3 linked regions of the Arabidopsis thaliana genome follow. The protein of the gene in region 3 interacts with the protein of the main gene of each other region in a pairwise test. Each region holds a gene or a part of one and is shown on either strand. Other genes may lie near its edges.

What was found.
Region 1: the proteins of AT1G61660 (region 3) and UNE12 interact in a two-hybrid assay, tested with the Arabidopsis thaliana proteins (one study listed by BioGRID).
Region 2: the proteins of AT1G61660 (region 3) and AT4G01460 interact in binary tests that used the Arabidopsis thaliana proteins (3 or more experiments, as listed by UniProt).

Annotation. Positions count from the first base shown.
Region 1 is NC_003075.7:1,136,636-1,143,446, forward strand, and holds UNE12 (basic helix-loop-helix (bHLH) DNA-binding superfamily protein), read right to left. Parts: upstream 3,906-6,811; 5' UTR 3,672-3,905; coding exon 3,309-3,671; intron 2,905-3,308; coding exon 2,782-2,904; intron 2,618-2,781; coding exon 2,552-2,617; intron 2,466-2,551; coding exon 2,400-2,465; intron 1,726-2,399; coding exon 1,645-1,725; intron 1,567-1,644; coding exon 1,333-1,566; 3' UTR 852-1,332; downstream 1-851. Other genes in the region: AT4G02580 (NADH-ubiquinone oxidoreductase 24 kDa subunit), read left to right, coding at 164-271. UniProt on the Arabidopsis thaliana protein: Required for ovule fertilization.
Region 2 is NC_003075.7:618,500-624,277, forward strand, and holds AT4G01460 (basic helix-loop-helix (bHLH) DNA-binding superfamily protein), read left to right. Parts: upstream 1-2,191; 5' UTR 2,192-2,478; exon of another isoform or gene 2,479-2,828; 5' UTR 2,829-2,834; coding exon 2,835-3,272; intron 3,273-3,373; coding exon 3,374-3,772; intron 3,773-4,087; coding exon 4,088-4,198; 3' UTR 4,199-4,500; downstream 4,501-5,778.
Region 3 is NC_003070.9:22,752,758-22,759,303, forward strand, and holds AT1G61660 (basic helix-loop-helix (bHLH) DNA-binding superfamily protein), read right to left. Parts: upstream 3,615-6,546; 5' UTR 3,415-3,614; coding exon 3,092-3,414; intron 2,972-3,091; coding exon 2,563-2,971; intron 2,467-2,562; coding exon 2,359-2,466; intron 2,273-2,358; coding exon 2,207-2,272; coding exon of another isoform or gene 2,123-2,206; exon of another isoform or gene 2,078-2,122; coding exon 2,012-2,077; intron 1,918-2,011; coding exon 1,864-1,917; coding exon of another isoform or gene 1,846-1,863; exon of another isoform or gene 1,765-1,845; coding exon 1,613-1,764; coding exon of another isoform or gene 1,609-1,612; exon of another isoform or gene 1,250-1,608; coding exon 1,246-1,249; 3' UTR 854-1,245; downstream 1-853.

The sequences.
Region 1 (6,811 bases), on a different chromosome or scaffold from region 3:
TGGATACTTTCCTGATGTTCTTCTCTTACTATTGCATTACATCGGTGGGGGAAAACAATCTGGTTTCGGTTAACTTTCCAAATTGGAGAACGTAGCCTCTAAGCCAAAATCCAAATCCAAAATCCAAATCCAACTTCTTATAATGTTAATCTTTGTTTTTCAGCATGGAACTCAGAACCCGAAGAGGATCAAGTGTGGACCAGAAGGAGGGAATAAGACACTGCTTGGTGAGCCTAAGCCACCACAATTCCGTGATCTTGATGCATGCTAAAGCTAAGTTCTGTTTGCCGCAGTTTTATGTGGTTCAATAACGCAAAGGCTATAGCGATGTATGTTTGACGCCTGTACCGCATCAAATTGAGTTTGCATACTCTTTGTAGTCTTCTTGGTTTTGGAATTTAGACCCATTTTAAACAAATTGCCAAATCATCTTCGTTTATTATTATCTCACTCTAAGATTCATGTGAAATTGTAATAAAAACAAAACTTTTATCTGTTACTTCAAAAGACACAAGATTTTCCAAACTTTACTCAAAAAATAAATTTGGCAGAATGATTTAATGAATCACATGAAATAATCATATCAATAACTTTAATTCTTCGATGAGTTTTTTTTTTGGCTATATTTTTCCAAAACTAACAATATTAATAAAAGTTGTATTTTGTCTTCACTAATCAATGCAAAATGTAAACATGCAAGTTTAAATTGATACATGTTCTGTCCAAAGTGTATATATCTTAGCATTTGAGATTTGGAAGTTAAAATTGTACACGTACCACTAAAAAAAAGAAGCACAATTCATGGTACTTTCTCCTAAAATATTTGCTTTATGTTTCTAGTGTTATCAAACAAAGGATGGTTACTAGATCAAACTAATAATATTATTTGATAATTAATTATACTACTCCAAAGTCATACAAAATAAATAATAATACAAGGGGTGACAAATTACAAATACTTGTTTTTTCTTCAATTTGAACACAACTCAACAAGGTCCCACAACTTCCCACTACTACTACTACTAATAAATAACACCCTTCAAGCTCCTTCCTCAACCTCCCACTAAAGTCTTGAAAACAAAAAGTTGCTTTCATCAAAGTCCACCTAAAATAAAGGTACAATGATTACAATAATACTTGATCAATTGAGCTTTTTGACATTTTTTTTCCCTCTACTGCAAATCCTACATTGATTCCATCTACAAAGCCTTTTTCACTTTTTTACCTTTCAAGTGGGTGAGAGAGGAGAGAAGAAACCAGAGTCATTAGAGCAGAAGAAAAACCCATGTTGGACAGTTGGATTAGCTGTACAAACTCTTTATTGCAGAAATCCTACTGTGGAGGATTGTTCTCAGGCTTGACCACTGAAGATGTATCCGGAGGTTGAGAATGGTAAATTGCCATTGCCAATGAGATTGGCATCATACAAAGAGCCTTTGATTGAAGAAGCTGCATCGCGGCTCCAACGTTCTCTTCCATCAGTTTAGCCACTTGACGTTCAGTCCCATCGTTAGACCATTTCTCCCACGCTGGTTGCGGAGTCCTTCCACCCTCACCCGTTTCATCCTATTGACATTTTAAGCAAAATCTGAATCAAAACCCCATTACTAAAGTTTTTACTTTTTGTTCTTAAAAAGTTTTTACCTCAACTGATGATGAAAGAGGCATATCAGTAACAAGTGGAGCAACCGCACCGGCTCCACCAAGTCGGCTCATGCTCAAAACCTACCAAAGTTGACAAAGAGAAACAGATATCATTGAAAGTGATAAGCTTCACCCCATGAAAATTATATATATAAAAAAAGCTTTTACTTTTAGATGAGCATGGAAGATTTCACAAGAAACACATTTTCTATTTTTAAAACAAAAGATGTATTATCTTATCAGAAATCCATCATTGCATTCTGTTTCTTTAGTGTCTCCATTATCTTATAAAGTAAAGAGACTTCCTTTTTTCGCTTGCGAGAGCTTTAAGTAACCGACTGCATTTTGATATAAGAAGCATTTGATGATCTACCAGATTACTATATTATAATGTGAACATGATGATTGTAATTATTGTTGAATATGGTATTATAATCATAAACTGTGATTAGGCTCCCTATGACAAAACAAAAAGTGAAAAGAGACTAAATGCCAAAGAAAACAAAAGCATTTTGGACTTGTTTATTCTTTCCCACATTAAATAACTGATCTAATCAGATTGAAATTTGGTTGAAGGGTAGGTAATGGTGGGACCAGAATTAACACCAAAAATCCATCCAGAGAATTTGAAAGACATGATCTTTAGATCTCTAATCTTATGAACAAACAGATTAAACATATTGCATAGGGAGTAATAAGATAATTCACAAGAAAGAGAGTTCGAGTTTAAAACTGCAGAAGAGAGAAGAATATACCTTGACTTGGAGCCTGAGAAACTTTACATAATCGACAATCTCATCGATCATAGCAGCTCTATCGGTCTGCACACGAAGACGGGAGAAACAGAAAGTGTCAAACTTTCTAGAGAAATTATATACAGGTGAGGGTTAGGGTGAAAGGTACAGACCTTGTTCACAGTAGGTACAAGTTCCTGCAGCGCCCTGATCCGTTCTGCTATTCTTTCTCTACGTAGCTGTGGTAAAGTAAAACAAACTTTTAGGTAATCCCTCCATAAAATCAAGAGATCATTACACAATGTTAACATTTTTTTATATCCGAAACATATTTTCAACTACAACCAACTCGCCACCAACATAGTATATCACAGGGAAATACAAAAGAGAATCTGAAATATACCCGCTCAGCGATGCTATGTGGATCAGTAGCCTGACCACGCCTAGCTCGAACCCTGGGACGGATTGAAGTAGGCTGATGTGGGGCCGATGGAGGTGGCTGTTGCATAGGCTGCCCGTGGAAAACCTTCCAGACAACACACAGAAGAAATAAGACCAAACGAAAATAAACCATTTGCACAAGGATTTGACTCCATTAGTTGTAAGAGAATAATTTAAGTTAGACCCTTAAGATTACTCATTTGACCAACTTAGAAGGCAAGATAAGCCACGCAGCTACATGAACTAGTGAGAAGTTGCTCATAGAGTAACAAGAGCTAACCTTAGTTTACTAAACAAACCAAAATCGATTAGATTCAACAAGTCTGAGCCAAAATAAAGCACATAACGCAAATCATCAACTTTGTTAAAGTTACTTACCACAAATCAAAAACTAAAACAAAAGTTACCAAAAATGTTCTCTTCAAAACCCTCAAATTCGATTTCTTCCCATTTCTAATAATCAAACACCAAAGCAAGAACAGAACTTACAGGTTTCATAGAAGAACATCGATTATCAACAACATCATCTGAGAATCTTTTCCCACTTCCATGTCCTCCTTCAGGTCTAAGAAACCCAGGTCCTTTCCCTTGATCAAGACTTAACCCCAAAGGAAACATCTGATTGTGAAACCCAGTTGGTCCACTTCCTCCTAAGCCACCCATGTGACTTCCTTCTTCTCCGGAACCCAACTGCAGCATCATAGGCGGTGCTCCACCACCTAATCCTCCGTCAACTCCAGATAAACCGGCGGCAGAAGAGGCTGAGAAGTTAGGAAGGCCGAGGATTTGCTCGAAGAAATCATCAGAAGGAGTTTGGTCAGAAAGGTTGTCGTGAGGGTTGTTACTAGCCATGGTTTGAGCTAAAGACAGAGACTTTGACTCGAACGAGTCACTGTGAGTTACGATTAACGAGTTAGGAACCTTCAAAGAGAGATTTACATGCGAAAGCTACAGATTTTTTTAATCTATTTTGGGTTGATGAAATTTTGATGCTTTAAAACGAATGAGGACGAAGAAGACAGAGACGAGAAAGGAGCAGAAGAAAAGTGAAAACTTTATGCTCTGTTTATAAAAAAAATATCCTTTTTGGTAAAAGACCTTACTTTTTCAGATTATTTCGTTTTTGCCATTTTCTTATTTTCCTTCCAGAAACAAAATAAAAATATATAAATGGGCTGGATTTTATATCATATTTGGGTCTTCTTTCTCTTCTTCTAAATATGGGCCTTCAATTCAGTCTTTGTTTTTTTCTTTATGGGTTAAAGTCTTCTTTAGTTTTCCTTATAAATTACGTTAAACCTCTAACAATTAATTTATAGAGGTATTAATTATTAGTAAATTAATAATTAATAATTTCTTTAACATTATTTTTTGCTTATGTTTTAATGTTTACTTGATTTTTTTATTAAAATAGTTTCTTTGTTTTTGTTTATGTTTTTAACTATTATAATAGTTGTAGTCAAACATAATTTAGTAATCTTTTTAATTAATTTTGAAAATATATGATATACTTATAATTGCCACTAGATATTATATAATTTGAATTGATGTATTTGGAAATTGGAAAAATACACTGAGACCAAACATTTGCGATTTTATACGGCCGAAGCGGTCGTTTAGGTGTTACGAAAGTGGAAATGGTGCGTCGTGGAATTGCACTGAAATCATCCCCACATATCTCCTCCCGCCTCTAATAGCTTCTGGTTCTTTCCGTTCTCATATATCTAGCAGATCCACTACCTATCTACCATGACGCCAAGTAGTGACGGTACTGTCCGTCGTACTTATTGCTCTCTATTTTTAGAACATGACGAATGAATTGTAGTTATCTATTATTGTATCCCTCCTAATTCTAATTAATGTATTCAACTATTAGAATGTATTGAAAAAATCGCTTATTTTTCTGTTTGTAAGTTAAATTTTCCTATATCACTTATTGAGATGTTTACATAATTCAAAAACGTCACATAATTATCTTGCGAGATATAATCAAATTCGAGATATGCGCTAAGCAAACAAGCTCCAAATAAAGTATTTCAAATTCAAAAGAGACAATTTAGTTTCCTAGAAAATGTTTTCTCTCTTCTATCACAATTCAGGTTGATTCCCAAGCTTGTCGATATGGAAGATTCTGTTTGCTAGCTTATCAATCTCAGCGACTCCTCTCTCTAATTTGAGTCTACACCAACAAAAACTAAAGGGTTCACATCATTATGCCTAAATGGAGCTCATTTATAAAGGAACAACTTGTGCTTAAGGAGGTAATTCTCAGACCAAACACGAACATCCAACATAAGAAGTAATAAAAGCTAAGAAAAACAGTTATTTACAAAAATCAATAAATAAAACAAGTTTTGTTTTGGATGAAAAAAAAAAAAAAAAAAAAACAAGTTTTGTTTTGATAATATATTAACACAAAAAAAATCAGTTAATCAACTTAATAGTTTAATATATTAATTATTATCCCTTTAAGAATTTTTTTTTCTAATGCCCTTTTCATGATGCCCTTTTTCAACTTTACCCTTTTGTTTTATCCAATTTTATTTCTACCCTCTTTAAATTTTTAATGACCATTTTACCCTTATTTGGAAATTGTTTTAGGTTAACAAAATGAAAAATTAATATTTTTTCGCCAAAAATATTCCAAAATAAATTTCCCGCCAAAATTTGTTTTCAAACATATTTTTCCCGCCAATTTTTTTTTTTTGGCGGGAAATAGATTTACAAGGGATTTTAAAAGAGTTTTAAAAGATTTACAAGGGATTTTATAGGGGTTTTATAAGATTTACAAGGGATTTTAAAAGGGTAATTTACAATAGATTTTAAAGGGATTTCAAAAATTTACAAAAGTCTTTTAAAGATTTTTAAAGGCTTTAAAATTGTTTTAAAAAATTTTAAAATATTTACAAGGGATTTTAAAAGGGTTTTACAATATTTACAATGGATTTTAAAGGGCTTTAAAAGATTTACAAAGGATTTGTAAAGATTTTTAAAGAGTTTAAAAGTATTTTGAAAGATTTACAAGGGATTTTAAAACCTTTTAAAATTACTTGTAAATTTTTTAAAACCCTTTTAAAATCCATTGTAAATCTTTTCAAACTCTTTTAAAATCTTTTGTAAATCTTTTAAAACCTTTTTAAAATCTCTTGTAAATCTTTTAAAACCCTTTTAAAATTCTTTGTAAATCTATTTGCCGCCAAAAAATATTTACAAGGATTTTTAAAATCATTTTTTTGGCTGAGGAAAAATTTGTTACGAAAAAAATTTTTGCCGGGAATGTTTTTTTTTGTCGGGAAAAAAGTTTGGCAGAAACTTTTCTTTTTGGCGGGAAAAAAAAAATTTGGCGCCAAAAAATTGGCGGGAAAAGTTCAGTTTTCAATTACATGTTTCTATTAGATGAGGGTAATTTGGTCATTTTGTTCAAGAGAAGGGGTATTTTTAAAAATGGACAACATAAAAGGGTATTGTTGCAAAAGAGTAGTAAAAAAAGTGTAATTTTATAAATCTCCCTTATTTTAATATACAAACAAATATTATTTTTACTTGTGTATAATTTTGTCTTTTGATAATTTTCATTTTTTGATAATGTTAACAATTTTCTAGTTTTGTTTTAAATATATTGTTTAATTTAGATTTGACATGTAATATATATAAACAGATATTATTTTTTACTTGTATAAATCTAATATTTTAATTGACACATGTTCCGGTCATTTTAAAAACCAAACTTTATATAATAAGATAAAAATGATAAATCTTATTCTATTTATAAATACATTTTATTAATTTATAAAGAATACAACACATATACATTCGTTCTAACCGTATCAATTTTAAAGACACAAATACAAACTAAAACCAAATTAAGTTCAACCGAACCAAACGAGATAAACCGATCTATTCTAAAAAAAAAAAAAAATACTTCCTTTGTAGCCTTTTGATTGTTCGAGCATCATCAAGTTTACATTGTTCGAGCATTATCCAATCCAGTA
Region 2 (5,778 bases), on a different chromosome or scaffold from region 3:
ACTTATATGATAATCTTGCAATTTTTTTAATGTGGAGAGTAGATTTACAAAAATATTAGATTTTAAAATTTGTTTTGCAATTTTCTCTTTACTAATCTTAGGTCCAACCAAACCATTTCAAGTCATTTTCTTGTTATCTGTAATACATTATATATCTAAAAACTTCAAAATTAATTTGATTAGTTTGCTTAACTAACAGAAAATATTGAATGATACATTTATTACAGATGAAATAATGAATTTTTATTTGTGGCCAATTGCATAATGGATGTGAGATTGTATAGACATATTTAACTTGTCAACTCTACATGCCTTCTGGAAACAAGTCAAATCGAATAAAGTAAACTGAGAGACAATTCATGGAATTGATCTAAACACAAGTGGGTAAACCCATTACCATTTTCCTCGCTCGTCTAAATTCCTATATGTTCTCATTTACTAGTATCGTATCTTCTTTTTTTTTTCTTAAACAAACTAGTACCGTATCTTCGGTTATATGGATGGTACATAGAACTATAAATTGTAAAATCATATTCTACATACTTACTTTGACGATAAATAAGTGCTATTTCGGGTCTAATGTTACACGTAGGGAACTACCTAAGAAAATGTGGTTCGCGTGTCTAATGCAAACTGATTTCCATTCGAACCTATAATGGCTGAAGAAATAGCTATCCACATATGATATGTTGATAATGATATATATTATAGATATTCTTGTGTTTAGCTAAGTAATATATAAAAATTTACTCCACTTTTTTCTCAATTGGTATGTGACATGCTCTTATTGGGTGGATAATGTACTAGACAAAACTTGTAATTTTTTTTTTCTTTATCTATAATAATATAAAAACATTTTGTGTGTTATATTTTCATACATCTATTTTCCTTTCTTCATAATTCGTTTGGCCTATTTTTCAAATGTAGTCTATTCAATTTTATTAGGTTGCATGTGAGTTTTGGACTCACTTATGCATGGTACAAAATCCAAGTTCTTAAAAGACTTTGAGGTAGAATAAAAATCTGTAGTTTGGGAGAAGGAAACAAAAATAAAAAGGTAAATTTCTTTTGGGGGAGAGTACTGTTGTTTGCCCTACAGACCAAGGCACTGAAATCGAGTTGGTATTATTAGGATACTTAACGTTTGGCACCCATGGCCTTGGCCTTGGCCATGTGCATTGTTCGTCCTCTTCTTAAAGGGTACTATTGTCATTCTTAATTTTTATAGCACTAAGTCAACACACCATATTGGGAAATACTTAAAGACCCATAATGTACTTGTTCTAGCTCGATTAAAAGAGAAAAAACAAAGTAAATGAAAAGTTGAAGTAAAAGACATGAAAACCCTTTTTGGATTGGAGAAAACTAATTCTCTAAAGATAGAAAAGAAAAAGAGGAAGAAGCAAGAGAGGCTTGGTCTTCTTTTCTGATCCTGAAACTGTCTTAATAAGAGTGAGAAGTACTGTTCATGGAAGACGTGTCCCCACCAAACAAAACTGTCTTCACTGCCCTCTTCAATAATACTTTTACGGGACCCCTCCTAGTCCCAACGCACAATCTCATTGTGTCTATACAGAGTTATATTATATATATACACTTAATTTCTAATAGTTGTAGCAAAACATATGGTAAGAAAATGAAATAAATACGGTTAATATATTATTATTTTTTGGTCAAAACGGTTAATATATATGTAACACCAATGAAGCCAACATATCCAAACACAGAAGAAGATTTTTGGATGATGATTTAAACATGTATATATGTTAGTGTGAATCTTCAAAGTTTCTGTTTAAGTAGAATTATTTTTATAGATAAAGTATTTTATATGTTTTTTGGTCGAGCCAAATATCGAATTCCTTCATCAAAGTCTATCGAATTCCTTATATTTACCAAAGTAAAATTCGTTAAGAACAAAAATCAAAGAGTATTGTCCCGAAAGAAAATTATTTTGAAGGCCCAAAGAGGACAAGGTCATAAATATTTGATCTGGAGGACAGGACACCCACGTATATTTTTGTCCAAAATTTAGGTTAAAAAAAGAAGAAGAAAGGTTATCTGTTTCACGGATTAAATATTTAATTAATAATACATACATATATTACTGTATGTGTGCGTGTAAAATACTAAATATCGACGACTATATATATAACTAGATAATTTAGCTATAGTATAGTATTTTTATTTTTCACCCTTGGTTTTTTTATACATATATGCACCGAACCTCTTCTTCTTCTCTTCCTCGTCTTCTCTCCTTTTATATATGTGGAAAACTGCATTTATTAAGAACAGTTTAGAAAGTGTCAACCCCTAAAGGAATGTTTTTAGTTTAGAGGAAAGAGAGAGAAGAAGAAGCAGCAGCAGAAGTTGTTAATTTGAAGACTATTTGAGGAAAGACACCTATATCTAAATACTCAAAGTTACAAAAATATTACTTCAGAAAACAGTTCCATTAGAGAGACTCATAAAGCTTCTCATGTAAGCCTCTCTTGTAATTTATTCTCATATACAGAATACTGTTTTGTGCATTTACTCTTCTTCTTCCTCCTCCTTTCATATGATTAACATTCAATGCAAAATTCTTGTAAATTCATTTTACAATAGCTTATCCAAATTCTGCTACTTTTATTATTGTTTCCTCTCGCTGCGACATTCTTTATTTCTCATCATTTAATGTTCTCTCCTCGTACATCCTCTTTGTTCTGTCTTAAGAATTCACCTACCAAACCATTTATTTCTCATACCCACTTTAAGATTTAGTAGATTTTTGTTTTCTTGTCAAAATGGTATCCTAAAACTAATCTCTCTTGTTTTTTTCTTTGTTGAAGCTAATTATGAGTGGATTGATGAGTTTTGGTGAATTAGAAGACCAATTTGGTCAGATTTCAGACACTACTATGGAAGAGAAGATACCATTTCTGCAAATGCTTCAATGCATAGAACACCCTTTTACAACAACAGAACCAAATCAGTTTCTCCAATCACTTCTCCAGATCCAAACCCTAGAATCAAAGAGCTGTCTCACCCTTGAAACAAACATCAAAAGAGATCCGGGTCAAACAGATGACCCGGAAAAGGATCCAAGAACAGAAAACGGAGCAGTAACGGTCAAAGAAAAAAGAAAACGGAAACGTACAAGAGCTCCAAAGAACAAAGACGAAGTTGAAAACCAAAGGATGACTCACATTGCCGTCGAACGTAATCGAAGACGACAAATGAACGAACACTTAAACTCTCTCCGATCTCTCATGCCTCCTTCGTTTCTTCAACGGGTAACAAAATGTTTTAAGGGTTCATTAAACAAGAACGTAATTTTTTTTTCTTTTCAAGAACGTAATTTAGCTTTAACAAGAAAACGTTTTTGTTTCTCTAGGGTGACCAAGCTTCGATTGTAGGAGGGGCAATAGATTTCATCAAGGAACTAGAGCAACTCTTGCAATCTCTAGAAGCTGAGAAACGAAAGGATGGAACTGATGAAACTCCTAAAACGGCGTCGTGTTCTTCATCTTCGTCTCTTGCATGCACTAACTCTTCTATTTCTAGCGTGTCTACGACGTCGGAAAATGGATTTACGGCGAGATTCGGCGGTGGAGATACGACAGAAGTGGAGGCTACGGTGATACAGAACCATGTGAGCTTAAAAGTTCGGTGTAAGAGAGGAAAACGACAGATCTTAAAAGCTATTGTCTCGATTGAAGAACTAAAGCTTGCGATTCTACATCTCACTATCTCTTCTTCCTTTGACTTTGTCATCTACTCTTTCAATCTCAAGGTAATTTTCTTAATCATCTCTTAAACTATCAGTTTCAATTTCCACTAGTTTAAGCATTATTATAAATAGTCTTATGTAACTAGCAATTTTTGACTTTTTGAGGAAAATTAAGGAATCTTCATTTTGAAATGTTTGGTACTTAAGAAAATTAAAATGCATGAGAAACCATAATAGAAAATATCTACAATTATGTGTGTGTGTGTGTATTTTTTTCCTTCACTCTAAGCTTAGAAAATTTTAGTTTAATTTTTTAGTAAGTTGCTAATTTTTGTTTAGTTTTGGAGAGATGAGAAATGAATGGTGTTGTGCATGCAGATGGAAGATGGTTGTAAATTAGGATCAGCAGATGAGATAGCGACAGCCGTTCATCAGATCTTCGAGCAAATCAACGGTGAAGTCATGTGGTCAAATCTTAGTCGAACTTAGTTGACTTTTGACTCCTAGTAACGTGTGTAAACTTTAGGTTACAAAGAAAAGGGACGTGATATAAATAAGAAAAACCAAAGAGGTGAAATTTTGGGAGTTTTAATTATTATCTTATACTTTTTGGATTTTAGATTAGTAGCAAACTCGCAGTGTTCTACGATGACATTATTATTGGTCACATGAAGGTTTAGGTTATTATTGCCTGTAATTTTTGAATATAAACTAACCTATGAGTTCAGTTTGACCCCGAAAACGAAAAAAGTTAACCATGAGTAATATTTACTTCCATTTATAAATGTTTCCCACTTAGTAATAATGTTAAGAAATTGACTTTAGACGTCCGTATTAGAATGGTTACGGAAATGGAAACAAATACAATTAAAGATGAAACATCATTATTACTAAGAAGAAGTCGCCTTCACACTTCGCAACCTCTTTTTATATTTTGCATATACGTTTTATTAATACTCTCATATCGTCCATGCGTCTGACAAATCTACGCTTGATAAAAAAGGTACAGCTACAACATAAATTTAAAGGTATTCTTTTGCATCAACGTCTACTGACTAAAAATACTTGTTTATTGTATAATGACTCTAGTTTTACTTTTAACAACGAAGAGAAAGGTGGCAGAATTTTTTTAATATTCCAATGGTAAAAAAGCATCGTAAAAGGAAGCCTATGGTCAGAGTCTCATTGACACATCGGTCTCGCTTGTAATACGTAAAACTCAGCCTATCTCACTCACATTACTTTTTTCGAAATTTTAATTCATATATCGGTTTCCGCATATATTTAACTTTTGTATTCAAAGCTTATTAAAAAATCGGGAAAAATCTAAACATCATAAGCAAAACAAATCCGATCAATATGTTTAAATTCTGTAATACAAGAACAATATAAACAAAAACATATTATTCAGAAAGCAATGATACATTATTTGAATATTGTGTGTAAGAGTGAACGACAAGATCATACGTCAGAGATAATCGACTGGTAACAACTCTGATCTTTTCCAACTTTTGGTCAAAGTCAAACCATTTGGTCATTTTTACAGTAAATTATTGAGTAATATGTCATTTACTCATTTCTTTTGAGGAAAACTCTTTTTTTATCAGAAAACAAAAACAAATTACTCATTTTCGTTTTGGGCTCAAGACAAAAGTCCTTCTTTTAAAAATATTAGCCCAGTTAATCTATACAGGCCCATTAAAGCCCATACTAAAAGAGCCGAGCGTTCCACCGCGTGAGATTGACGTGCGTGTATTTACGCGTTAATGTTTCGCGTGGTATTTGTTTATTTGAATAAAGATTCCTTAGCTTTATTCTTAGTAGGTCCTCATGAGTCATATTCGTGAAATTGAGGTTTTTGAACGAACTCGGGGCTTTGATTCGAAGTCGAAAGTTTTGATTTTATATTGTGATTTCTAAGTCGAAGGATGTGTTACTTTGGTGTTTTTTTTATTTGATTTTTTAAAAAGAATATTTGATAGTTGTAAAGAGTTTTTGTATATGTTTAATTTTTAAATAGAGAAATGGTCAACGTAGCACAATTAACTTGTAATAGAGAATTGCTCAAC
Region 3 (6,546 bases):
AACTTTTGTTGATCCTGAGACAAAGGATATAGCCGAATATGAGTTGCAACCAAATCTTAACTTCTCTCTATCAACGACGATAATCTTAGTTGCAACATGAAAAACATTCATAAACAAACATTTGCCGGTTCTCCTTTAGTCGCGGAATGATCTCTTTCCAATGGCCAGAGACATGTTGTGGTAATCAAGCCTAGTACTTCTTTAATTTATGGTTCCGAGAACCATATTTGAATGTGTAGATTCACCGTTCCATACGTTCACTTTCGACCTTAACTCCATTTTCACTTTTTAGAATCTTGAATCCTGACTCCATGCTATGTTCTTTTAATTTGTTTGTACTTTGGAGAAAACCAACATTAATTTCCAATAGGGCATAATTTGAGATTTTGTTTTTTAATAATAAATACGTACTAATCATGCATGGGACTTGTTGAGTATTTTATCGATATTGAGATCTAAGGTAAGAATTCTGTTCTTGCATTGCATATATTTTTGAGTGGCATTTGATAGATTAGACACACATATATGTCTTTATAGTAACATATGAATAATCTTTTTTCTGTAAACATAAATGATGTTGAATGCAAATCAGTATATATTTATCGGTATCTATACTAAAATCATATATGTATATTCAAATCATAAAGTAGGAAGCAGTGTGGGCCGCTATTCTACTGGCTTCCACTACTGAATTTCCATAATATATAGTTCTTAATCGAACCAACAAAAAGTTGAATCCATATGGACACATATTTATACATGGATATGTACGAACATAAATACATGCATGTATCCAGAAAATGTGCAAGTTTGCAAGTTTGGACATAAATGTAACTATGTAAGAGTAACGGCACTATCACAAACAATTAGGTTATAAGTGTTGGTTTTGTGATTGTTAAAATTAAAATTTATGATTAAACATGAAAAAAACAACTCTATAAAAACAACAAAGAACTTCATATGACAAACCACCAATTATTATGTTCTCTAACTTTAATAAGTGATTAACAAAGATGTTACCAACGACAAAAATATGTATATATATATATTCAAGAACAATGACAGGAACAAAAGGTTATTCAACATAAAAACAACCCATATATGCTAAATTCAGCAATAAACCCCCCTTAAAATATTGAAAGAAGAAGAAAATACATTAAAAATTATTGTTATGCTTTAGAGTCTCCAAGCTGAATTTAGCATATGTTCCCATCCGTCTTGACAACCACAACCCTCTCTCTTTAATCACCTATATATAATTAAAAAGTGAAATTTAGGTTAATTATTACATATATAACATGAGAGTATGTAAGTTAATGTTTTTAAAAATATATCTATCTATTAGTTTATGATAGATTATTATCCCAAATTTTCTAAGCCCTAAATCATTCTTGCTTTCGTAGTTGGTCCCCTCCAACACTATTGTTGCCTCTGCCCACCTTTGAAGAGTCACCTTCTTCTTCTCCCATCTCTACTTTTTCTCCAAGTAATGATTCAATCTTTGATCATGACTTGTGAATTTTATTTTCTTTTATTTTTATGCTAAGCATTATTAAATAATATCTTAATGCTAATTAAGAACCGTATGATATACGTAATTCACCTTCTCTACCTGAAATTGTTGCCCCCAAACGTTGGTGTCCAAAAATCGGCTGTTGTTTCGTTAGCCACCGGAAACGTGCTTGATATTGGGACGAGACATAGACCATGTCCTCTTAGTTCGTGATTCTCATTTTCATCTTGACTCTTCGATTTACCAGATATCTACATGAATCCATACTGAAATTAGTACTTATTTAACCATGATTATAGCACGAAGACTCCAACTTGGACAAAACTAAAACACTAGATCGTGTATTGAACCTGCTGTTGTTGTTGGTTCGAGGCACCTTGTTTCATGTATGGAGTGCTTAGAACCTGTATTTAAAAAACATTAATATGCTTAAAAATTTGCTCATTTCTAGGGTTTTATGAATTCAGTGAGTTAGGAGAGAAATCACAAGAAACGTACAGTGACTTGGTCGTGAAGGAACTTGATGTACTCTATAGCTTCTTGGAGAACAGATGCAGTATCTGTCTGAAGTTTAACCCAAAGATATACAAAATAAACAAACTAAGAAGCTCAATACATAACCAAGGGAAAATAAATGCTTTTGGTTGTATATATTAAGCCATATAAAATAAAGTAAACACATAAATCATTCACCTTTCCGAAAGGTGAAACTAGTTGTTGTAATGAAGTTATCTGGTCCCTTAGATTCTCTTTTCTCACCTGTTACATATACAATCCATTTTATCCACCAAGAAATTGAATTAAAATAAAAGGTCTTAAACAAATCTTGAAATATGATCATGTACCTTGAAAGTTGGCAACGGTGAAGGCGTGGTGACTCTCGGTTTCTTCGCCGCAGATTCATTATCCTTTGCTCTCTTCAAAGACTCACTCTGAGCTCTTGTCTTCAGATTCTTCTCAACAAAAATAAATAAATAAATAAATTCAATAATATAGCCACAAAACTTATATAGTAGCAAAATTATTTTGACATATATGAGATAATTTACCTTGGTTTTGTCCTCCAAACGAGTAGATATTATCTGCGGAGTGGTTACAAAATTGCTCGGCGTCGTGTTGTTTAAGTTAGTGGTTGATGAAGAATTCCAAAAGGGTCGAGAGTTTGCGTTGTTAGAGAAGCTGTTAATTAGTCCATAAGCTACTTGATGATGAGGATTTGTCTTATTAGCCCAAGAAAGTTGAGGATCGTTGATTGAACCACTTGTGGTGGAGACAAAGTTGTATGGACTTGGTTCGGGATCGTAAAAGGTTCGTATCAAGCTTGAGGACGAAGAAGTTGATGGAGATGAAGAACAAGCTGGATTAAGTATATAAGGTGAAGTAGTTGTGGATAAGAATCCTTGGCCATGATCTTGATCTTGTGAGCTCCTTATGAAGCTTGAGTTTAAGTCTTCTTGTCTGAAAAATACAAAACAAGAACAAAAGAGATCTCATGATTATTATTAAAAATCTTCAATCTTGTTCATCAAGAAAGTGAACAAAAAAAATTAAGTTAGGGTTTTTCTTTAAGAAGTTTACAAAATGGTTTGGTTCCAATCTGAAGAACAATTTGAGGAAAACCCTAGACCCATCATCTGCAACGTCGAGTCCATCGTCACGGTACTTCCTCCACTGTCAGAATCCGCCTCTCGCTGCCCGAAAACGATGTTGTTGTTGTCCGTACAAGTCATCCTAGATTTGAGATGATTCTCTTGCGAGCTAAAATCATTGGAAGTGATAGCCGCTCCGAAGCATGGTGACAAGAAATGATCCGAAGGAGACATAACGCTCCTTGGCGAGTTCCACCACGCGCCACCTCCGCCACCACAAATCGATGCCGTAGCTTTAAACTCCTCCGCCATATTAAGAGAATCAGAAAGTTTTAGTATAAGCTTTCTACTAGATCGTTGCTATACGAAGGTTAAAGTTTTTATATATATGAGTTTGTTGTATGTGATATGAAGAGCATAAGTGTAAAATTTTGATATATGTTTATGAGGGTGTGTATGTTTATATAGGCAAGTACGGACAAGTGTGTGGAAATTACCGGAATTTAGTTGACATTTGAAGACAAAAACTTATATCATCATAACATTCCTATGTGATTTTTTTAATTAAATAATCTTGATTTTAAATTTTTTCCTTAAGCTAAATATTTTATTTGACAGAAAGATGTTGTAATAATAGTGTTCCTAATCCCTCAATTTTCTTCTATTATTATAAGAACAACTGTCTTTGTGAGATTTGTTTCTTTGCTGCTTAGCTTTTCGAAGAAGTGATAATGATCCTCATTTTATAAATATTTAAATATTTAATTTGAGATTAGATAGGTGTTTGGTACTATTATGCAAGATGCCAAAAGGGGATACTATTTATATATAGACATTATATCTAACGGTAACCTTTGATTGGTTGCCATCAAATTCTACAAATCGATCGTTTATATTAAGTGGTCAGAAATAGAAAACATATCACGATTTTGATTAAATCAGTTTTTAGTAATTGTATAGACAAAACACGAAAATGACTGATTATAGTCTACGCATGCGTATATATATAAATGTACATAAATATGAAAGACTAAAATTTTGAAACTTGATATTTTTTTATTACTTTCATGCTTCCATACATGATTTTTATCAGATCACTTTAGTAAGCTTAGGAAAAAAAAAAACTAATTAGTCTATGCAAGCGTATTAATAATTGTTTTATTATTTTGGTAATTATAAACGACTAACCAATTTTTGAACAACGTTTCTTCTAATTAATTATCCATACTTTCATACAGTAATGATTATCTTGAAGTTAAAATATATGTTTTCTCAATCGCATTTGCTAAAAAAAACTTTAAAACATATATCTTCAAGGATTAGACTCACTTATTTTCAAAAGTAATATTCAAAGATTCTTTCGAGATAAAAGTTGAGTCCTAGGCTAGCTCGTTCAGGTTTGAGTTTTCAGTACTTGGGAGGGATATTTATACTTTAACAGGTATTACTATTACTAAAAATTAGTTTTAGATCGAAAAAGCGATCATAGGAATTTTTATTTTTTTAATAGACGATCAATTGTTTTTAGCTCGATTGGAAAACGCAAAATTAATGGCAAAACCTAGAGTTAGCACTTGATATGAGTTCGATATTTATTTCATTGTCGATCGGATTCTTTCGGTTAAAAATAGTACTATAAAATAAGATTTGTTCTTGTGGCTTGAGGCTAAAGGGATAAATGGTATATGATGACGATCGTCGATCGATGCTGAGTTTCGATCTGTGTGTCACGTCACCGTTTCTGGACCTATTGTGTTTGTGACTTTTTTCACAATCTCTTTATACCAAACGGTCCTTATTCTTTTCAACTAGCTTTTTCTAAATTCCGTAAATATTTTATTCTTCTAATAAATTTGATAAGTCAATCAATTATTGCACTTTAATTACAAGTCATTGTTTTGTTTTTCTTCTTTCTCTTAATTCTTTTTCCATTTTATGTGATAGACTGATAGCCACACAAAATATCAAAAAATGGATTTGTTGAACCTGATAATAGTAACCAGTTCTGTTCTTTATGATCATTATACGGCTCGAGGCATAGTGAACCGGGCTGTGTCACCGTCCATAAAATATACAAGTTTTATCAAACGATAGGCATAGATAATAAACATAATTTCACCGATATCCATGTATATAATATTTATATATCTATCTCCTTTCAAAATAAAAAAAAAAATTGGACATATTCTAAGCTAAATTGTGCTAGTATCGTTATTACGAAATTCAAATTTACGTTATGTATCTTGACAAAAAAAAAATTGTTATGAATGCTTGAAGAATGGTATTTTTACGTTACATGTAATACAAAAAAGACACTAATCATTTATGGTAGTCCAATGATTCAAAAATATATTTTGTAATTGGGAGACCATTGTTCATGGTTAGTAGAAGTGAAAGTCTTAAATGTATTCGGCAAAAAAAAAAAAATATCAAATGAAACTCGTAGATTTTTATTGTTCATGGCTATTCGAATTGTGAAAAGTCTTAAATGGTAAAAATATGACACAAAAATATCAAATGAAACTGGTAATATTTTATTGGATAATGGCTATTGAGGACAAATGAAGACTATAAAGGCCCCAATTTATCTAATTATTATTAAAATATTAATTAAGAACTAATTGAATTTTTTTCTTAATGGTCTCTCTATGCGACACAATGCATTTTGACTTAAAACTTAAAAGAGCTTTGAAGCACTGAAATACAGAGACAGTTAGGTCAGATCCATGCGACTGACTAGTAAGTTTTCATCGTGCAATTAAAATTAATTTTAATATAAACTAAGAAAGTGTCAAAACAAATTTGATCAATTTGCTTAAGCCCACCAGTCCACTCCGCCAAAAATGAAAAAAATAATAATTCATTATTGCAACGTGACTAACTTTTTATTTATTTATGAAAACACTTGTTTCGTTTAGGTTGATATCGATAAAATAAAAGTTATGAAATGAACGTCAAAAGAATGTGTCACAGCCACCGTATGACAACATAAGTTAAATCCGAAGAATCTTTGTCAGCCCATCGGTTGTTTTCTCTAACGGTCTGGTCGATCCCATCGATATGTACACCGACACTCCTCTAAGCTCTTGTCGGTCGATATTTGGATTTTATTATTATCGGACACATATGCTAAATTTTATAGTCCCCAATCTTATTCAGCTTTCTTCCATTTTCTGTTTAGTATATTCATGGTGGCAACATATATAGTTGAATCAACGACTAGTTTTGAAATATACCGCTTTTCACAATGCAAGTATACGAACACTTTCGGATGTTGGAGTAAAACTTGATCACGAACAATGAGATTCATGCACTCGTTGTATGAAAAAAACTTAGTTGACGAAGAATTGCTCCAAAATACGTATTGCTATATACGTATATAAAGTGATATAGACACGTATATACGATTAGAAGCAATATGAACATGTATAAAATTTAAAGTAG